2 linked regions of the Drosophila melanogaster genome follow. The protein of the gene in region 1 interacts with the protein of each later gene in a pairwise test. Each region holds a gene or a part of one and is shown in the gene's direction. Other genes may lie near its edges.

What was found. Proteins that work in one complex are often made in the same cells at the same time.
Region 2: the proteins of teq (region 1) and tx interact in a two-hybrid assay, tested with the Drosophila melanogaster proteins (one large-scale study listed by BioGRID).

What each region holds. Positions count from the first base shown.
Region 1 is NT_037436.4:9,072,913-9,076,670, forward strand, and holds the start of teq (tequila), read left to right. Parts: upstream 1-1,730; 5' UTR 1,731-1,866; coding exon 1,867-1,917; intron 1,918-2,151; coding exon 2,152-2,710; intron 2,711-2,759; coding exon of another isoform or gene 2,760-2,954; intron 2,955-3,107; coding exon of another isoform or gene 3,108-3,353; intron 3,354-3,406; coding exon of another isoform or gene 3,407-3,758. Other genes in the region: CG4942 (uncharacterized protein), read left to right, coding at 295-759, 817-1,407.
Region 2 is NT_033777.3:26,439,087-26,442,844, forward strand, and holds the start of tx (taxi), read left to right. Parts: upstream 1-1,691; 5' UTR 1,692-2,650; intron 2,651-3,758. UniProt on the Drosophila melanogaster protein: Probably plays an important role in the differentiation of epidermal cells into the tendon cells that form the attachment sites for all muscles.

The sequences.
Region 1 (3,758 bases):
TGCAAAGGAAATAAAAGTGTTGCTGTCGTATAAAATGACTGTATAAATTTTGTTATTGTTCTCTTATCAACGATTAAATGATTTCAAATTAATAACTGCATTTCAATGTTTCCTAATTTCGGATAGCAAAAAAAGCATCGTAAGTTAAGGGTTAATGCAACTACAATGCCTAGCTACGGCCACACTGATTGAAGCCGTGTTATGGTAACAATCAGCTGTTCACAATGATAACAACTCGCACTGCTGATTCTATATAGTTGTTTACGTTGATTATTAGTTTTATATTAATTAAAAATGTCAGCTTTGCTTCTTTTACGCACCTGTAGAAGTTCATCAATTGCTGGCATCTACAAATACACATACCAAGGAACAACTATTGCGAATCACACATGCAATCATCGTCTGTCGTCTACAGAAGCGGCGGCCGCGAGTGTCCAACTGGCAAATGCCGGTGGATTGGTGGGATATTGGCAGACCTTGTCCAACAGCACGCCGGTGGCCTATATGCAGGATGTTCTCATTAAGATCCACGACTACAGTGGCCTGCCCTGGTGGGCGTCCATCGTGCTGTCCACTTTCCTTTTTCGGAGCGTGGTCACCCTGCCTCTGACCATTTACCAGCACAAAATCACCGCCAGAATTGAAAAGATAGCGCTGGAGATGCCGGCCATTGTGGAGGAACTGAAAAAAGAGGCAGCCATGGCCAAGCACAAGTTCAAGTGGAGCGAAAAGCAGACTCAGATTGTTTATCGGCGTTCGGTTTGTTAAAATTCAAATGTTTGCGAGACACTCTTCGTCATGTCAATTATCTTACAGATCAAGAAGCAGTGGCAGAACCTTATAGTTCGGGATAACTGCCATCCCATGAAGACCATGATTGTGCTATGGGGTCAGATTCCCCTGTGGATCTTTCAATCCGTGGCTCTGCGCAATTTAGTGTACATGCTGCCGGATCCCACGTCCATTCAAGCTCAAATCGTGACCACCGAAATGACCATTGGCGGATTTGGTTGGATACCAAACCTTACGGTGGTGGATAACTCTTATATCCTGCCTGTAGCATTAGGTCTTATCAATTTGGCCATCATTGAAGTGCAAGCCATGTCTAGAACTCGTCCTTCTACACGCTTGCAGAACATCGCCAACAATGTGTTCCGTGGATTGAGTGTTGTGATGGTTCCAGTAGCCTGTACAGTGCCTTCAGCTTTATGTGTATACTGGGTAGCTTCCAGCAGTTTTGGCCTTGCTCAAAATCTGCTCATCCTCTCGCCGGAAGTGCGACGATCTGTGGGAATTCCCAAAACACAAACGGAACTCAGTGAGCCGTACGATCTGCTCTGGCTAAAAATACAGCAGAGGCTAAGACTTGCCGAGAGGGCGCCGGCTGATAAGCCGGCAGCCAAATGATCTAGTCTCTTAGTCATAATCACCTAGTCTAATTTGGGTATGACGTTTAGTTTGTTTAAATGCGACTGCGCCACTGTAATTCATCATCATCATTCTTAAGCTCCAACATCTCAGATTCATAGAAGTAAATAAATGAGTGAAAAACCCCAAAAGAAATGCAAACAAAACAAGGCGATAAGACAGCAAAAAGGTCTTGAGATTACAAGCCCTGATAGTGTGGTCCACTCAATTGGTTTGGCGACAAACGAGAGCATCTATCAGCGGCGGCAGAGATAGAGATTCATCCCGAGTCCAATTGAATTGAAATGCGATCTGGGTGTGGGTCAGTCGAGCCTGGAATTCGAACGGGATCACAACGAAGAATTTAAAGCGCGAGAAAAACAATTGTGTAGTTGCTATCAGCATCGGTGCATTTTAAGAAATATTTAAATTCAAATACTTATAAAGCGGAAACGTAAAATGATGGCCAAGTGGCTCCTTGGCCTTTGGCTGGCGATCCTGCTAGTGGATGTTAGTGTAGAAAGTTTATTAATAATTTCAAATTGTGTTTTTTAAGGATATCATCTAGATTCTAGATTATTTACAATTTTTTAAGATTTTAGTCAAACTAAAAATGTTGTTTAGGAATTTAAAACGCGCTTAAGACTTTAATTTTAATTGAACTTAATTACAAGCTATTAGCTAAATTTTGCCTCTAATTACTTACGGTTGTTCAATAATATTTCATAATTGCGCTTTTGACAGCGACCCGGGGCTAAAGCTTATCGATCAGGCAGTGGCTACCACAGCGAGCAGTCGGAACCAGTTGGCTTATCAGCAACAGGGAACGCACACTCGAGTTACGGAGGCGACCAGCAGCAGCCTATTTACCATCGGGATTCGGCATGCCCGCCGCATTTTACGGGTCTGGTTGCATATCCCCACGACTGTCATCGCTATGTGAACTGCTTCGATGGCAGCCCCACCATTCAGACGTGTTCGCCCGGAACTCTGTTCAATGACAGGACCCAGGTGTGCGATCATCCCAGCAATGTGGTTTGCCCTTCAGCGGAATCTGCATCTACTCGACTGGGAAGACTTAGGCAATTAGATAGTGAACCCAAGTGTCAACCGGGAGTGAATGGATTGCAACCGCATCCTTCGGATTGCAGCAAGTTTCTTAACTGCGCCAATGGTCAAGCTTTTATTATGGACTGCGCACCAGGAACTGCTTTTAGTCCAGCATCACTGGTATGTGTGCACAAGGATTTGGCCAAATGCGGATCGGGAACTGGAGCAGTACGAGATGATACCTCCGGCACCGGTACGTATGAGTGATTTAAATACAAAAATCTTGACTAACACTCGGTTAGGCTACCCTGCGTTGCCTTTTGATGACTTGGGCTGTCCACCCGGTACACGTGGGCTTCGTCCACATCCGCACGACGTGCACAAGTATTTGAGGTGCGGAATTGGGGTTAAGCCTCAGGTGGAACAGTGTCCACGGGGCCACATCTTCGATGGCTCCTCTTCGGTATGTGTGTATTCTGACTCCCCTCGGACCTCCTGTAAGTGTCATTTCATTTCTTATCCCTACTGCTTGGCCTCGCTTGATTCATCTGCTTTTTCATTTCGGGTTATTTTCTCATATTACGCTGTACACGCTTTGCTTGCCTGCTTAGTTGATAGACTCTAATCCTGATCCCTTTGAATTGTAACAGCTTCCTCCTTCACGTCGGCTGAGATTCAGGTCAACTATCTCTTGTGTCCAGTGGGAGCCGTTGGCCAATTTGTTCATCCCTTTGATCAAACAAAATTCCTTAGTTGTAAGGATGGTAAATCGGCTGTGCAAAACTGCCAACCTAATTATGTGTTTAGCATATCGAGGCGCTACTGTCAGTTAAAAGCACAATTAGCCTTTACCGACTATGTCACATTAATTATCTCCGAAATCAGCTATGAGTATTGTAAGTTACTTTATCATCACTGTACACTAGAATTTATGATAATATTTTACTAGCACTTATCCTTAATGCCTGTCCTGGTAACATCAACGGCATCTTCTTGTATCCCTACGATGCTAAAAAGTACGTTCAGTGCTCGTCTGGTGGCAGAATGTCCATCCTAAGTTGTGGCCCCCAGATGGCATTCAGTGTATCCCAAAGAAGTTGTCTTCCAAGTCATCAAGTGCACATATCTGATCGGGTGCAGTTCTGGCAGGAAGTCCAAGTTCAGACCACTTATACTTCTCAAGACTTACGGGGAAATGTTCAAAGCCAGCTGTCTTCACTTAGATCGTGTCCACCCAATGTCCAGAAGAATTACCCTTATCCATTCCATGCTGGCCACTATGTCAGGTGCCAATATGGAGC
Region 2 (3,758 bases), on another chromosome or scaffold:
CGGCAGATTAAGCTGTCAGCAAAGAAACACAACATTTTGGCCACTTTGTATGTATTTTTAAATACGCTCAGTTAATCAAAAATATTCGTACATATATAATTTGATTTTCAGCTCCCTTCGCACGCAAATCAAATTAATGTTGCATGCGTTACTTTTCCACTCTCCTAAAATGTGTGACGACCTTGTGCCATGAAAAATGTATGCTTTCTGGGCATGAAAAAAAAAAGAATCATAATCAAATTTAACTGTTGTCATCATGATTTATTTACTCAAGAACAAAACACGACAAACGATGACGAACTCGCCTTCAGACAGAAGACAGAAGCACAAAGATAAATTAATCGCCAGTCAGTCACAGAGTCGATCGGTCTATTGCCCGAAGTCATTTATTCACAAATGCTCGTATATGAGTATATCGGGGCAAACTCGAGATTTAAGCCGGGTATGTCGTCATAGCTACAATAATGAGAAAACAACTTGTTTTGCCTGCAGGAGCAAATCCATTTTGCAATTATTTGCCTGTTTCAGTTAATTATAATTATTTGCGAAGCAACAAAATGCAAGCAAAAACAAACTATACAAACATGACTCTAAACAATATTCTTTGTTGAAAAATAAAAAAAAATCGGGTTCCAACAACTGAATTGTGACTTTGAAATCAGCTTAGCACTTTGAAATTAGACGCTATGTGAAAACAACTTGAGAAGTGCACACACCCAATACATCTGAACTGAAACTGATCGAAACGAATTAGAATAAATTATAAAATCCAAATATATGGACAGGAGTCAAAAGCGTCGGCTATCAGATACCCATCAAAAATATTTTAATTACAATTTAAATTGCTGAAAATTACTGAACACCACGTTTCGAAGAATTGTTATTATATATATTTATATTATCTTACAGGAAATACTTTAAATACTTGTCATGAATTAAAGTTAAAACAACAAAATTCCACCATCCATTCTTAAAACACTTAAATGACAAACAAATGAGGAGATTTCCTTGAACTTTACTTCGACGTGCCTCATAATTCGCCACGAAATCCAAGTTGATCCAAATAAATACCAAGAATGAGTATCATTTATGGTCTGGCAACCAAAGTTCAACCTTAAAAATGGAGATCCGACACAAGTCAAGCTTTGGTAGCTGATACCATCTCAATCAAAGGCGAATAAACATTTTTAACTATTTTCAAGTGAGCTCAAGCAATGTCTGACTTGTACAAATGAATGTCAAGCGCTGCTGCAGCAGCAAATAAAATTAGCAATAAATTTAAATAAATAACTGCCTGGCGATATTAGATCATACGAAATCTCAGGGGGCCGTCTACGCGTACTCGTGGTAGCACTCAAAACACTCGAAACGAAACCGAAAATCCATCCGAATCGGAAATCACTCAAGAGAGTGCGCCAAAGACCAACTGGGACCGTACTATGCGATACAGTACGATACGATACGATCCGATACGATACGATCCCATCCGATCCGGCCAACGCAAAAAGCACCCACACATCGGGTGGATGTGGATATTTGGGGAAAGAGAGAACTGGTTTCTCTTCAATGACTTTGTGCTGAGCTGTGCTGTGTTGTGTTGTGTTGTGCGCTGGGCTGTTTTGTGTTGGCGTTGGCGAGCGCCAGTGGGTTTCTCGGTTTATTGGTCGTCGCTGAGAAAACGAGACTGTGCTGCCTTTTAATGCGGCATTTCATTCATTGATCGTTCCAATAGCGCGCCGCACGCTCAGCGCAGCGGACAAGTGAGCCAAAAGTCCGACTTCCACTGCCATCGCCGCCCACCTGAGCCGCTAACCTGGCTAACGGAGTCAAAGCCAACTGGGGGCAGTAGTCAGCTGATTTAGCTGCCACCGCATCCCAAGCCAAACCAAGTCAGACCATCCCAGCGATCCGCGAGATATATCTATTCAGTGCACAGCCGACAAGCGCAGCAGGCGGACGCAGCGCAGCATTTTCTCCGTGTATTTTCGTATGCCATCTCGGGATATTGGATACAGATACAGATTCCGAGATACAGATACACAGAACGCGAGCGACGCGCACTCATAGATATTTTTAGCAACCGGCCTCACGCACACCGCCGCACACATTAGTACCGCCGCACTGACACACGCGGCTTGCACGTTTTCACGGAAAATCCATTCTTCGAGGCTTTTCCAGCAGGCCCAAGATAAACACAACTCAAGAATGCGCGAAAACCGTACCGAAGTTATTATCAATAGTTAAACCAGCGGCGCAATCACAACCGCAACAACCACAACCACCGCAATATTAATTCAAACCAAAACAAGTTCCAGAAGTTTTTGAGGAAATAAAAACTGAAAACAAACCTTTTTTGTTGTGTTAACATGCCAAATTTATGCATGAGCTAATAACTTTAAATCCGAAAAGAATAAAAAAAAGTCCAAACAAAACAAAATTCAAACAAAGATCGCATATCAAAATTAGTTGGGTGACTAATTAGACAGCGCGTTGTCGGAATTTCAATTTGCATACTTTGGCGCAACTTTAATGAACCAAAAATTAAAATAAAAACATCAACAAATCTTAATCAGAGTGCACAACTGAATTCAAATCATCCTGAAAGACCAATCCCGCAGCCATACATTGTTGGATTTATGAAATCAAAAAGGTAAATATACCGCCGCCATTTATCAGACATAAGCGTTCAGATATAGAAAAGATATAGAAGATCTGCCCGATCTCTTGTTGCCGCCCCAATAAAAATAGACAAAAGGCATTCCTCTGTCCAATCACGTTAGTGGCTGGCAGATGGGGCAGGGCGGGCTTTTAAGAAACTTCTGAAACATTTATTTGTCCAAGGTGTTGAAAAGCCAGATGTGTGCAGGGGAAAATGTTTTCGAGCTGCTCAGCAGGGAAAACGGCGACGACAGCCAGTTGTCAACTGATTTTCAAAGGTTACCGAAGGGAAGCAGCAACTTGGCTGCGTTTGTTTGCGACCAAAGTAGGGGGAACAGTTTAATTAATGTGCAAACAAAAGCTGTGAATTCTCATCATCAATGAGAGTCCCGCTTAACCTGCCACTCACTTTAAATCTGTGATGTGCTAATCAACGCCGGCATTTATTTATTTACTTTCATTTTCGCCATACCATTCGGCAACAAGCACTATGTTTGCCCAAATAATCGAGTAAAATTGGTTTCTGGCAGCCAGTCAATCGCCGATTTTAATTTGGCATTTATTTATTTAATATATTAATATATTATTCATTTTGTCGAAAGCTAAAATAAACTAGCATCTCATGGGCTGACTCAATACATGATTAAAAAATGTTATTCGTCATAAATATTTTATGATTTACAAAAAAAAAATTCGCCAAAAATACACGCATTAATCGAGTCAAATTTTAATGATTTTTCTGCCATGGAAAGGTGCATCTAAAATTAAATTAGTTTATGGACACATGAGTCTATTGCTACCCTATATATACTTGCCTACCTCATTGTTTGCTGTCCCCCTGACCCAAATCTCGATCGTATGTGGGAAAAGCCAGCGCCCCTCCTTGCAAAGAGACTTAAACAATAACAATAGCAGGAATAAATCAAGAAAAATAAAAGTTAGTCGTAGGCAAATGCCAGAGACCTGTCAAAAAATCAAGCAAATCAAAAGCCGATGGGTAATACAAAACCACACAGAAAGCTATCAAAATATAACTCATACGTATTCGTATTTATCCACACGGTGGTGGAAGGGAGACGGTGAATGTAAACACGGCCACA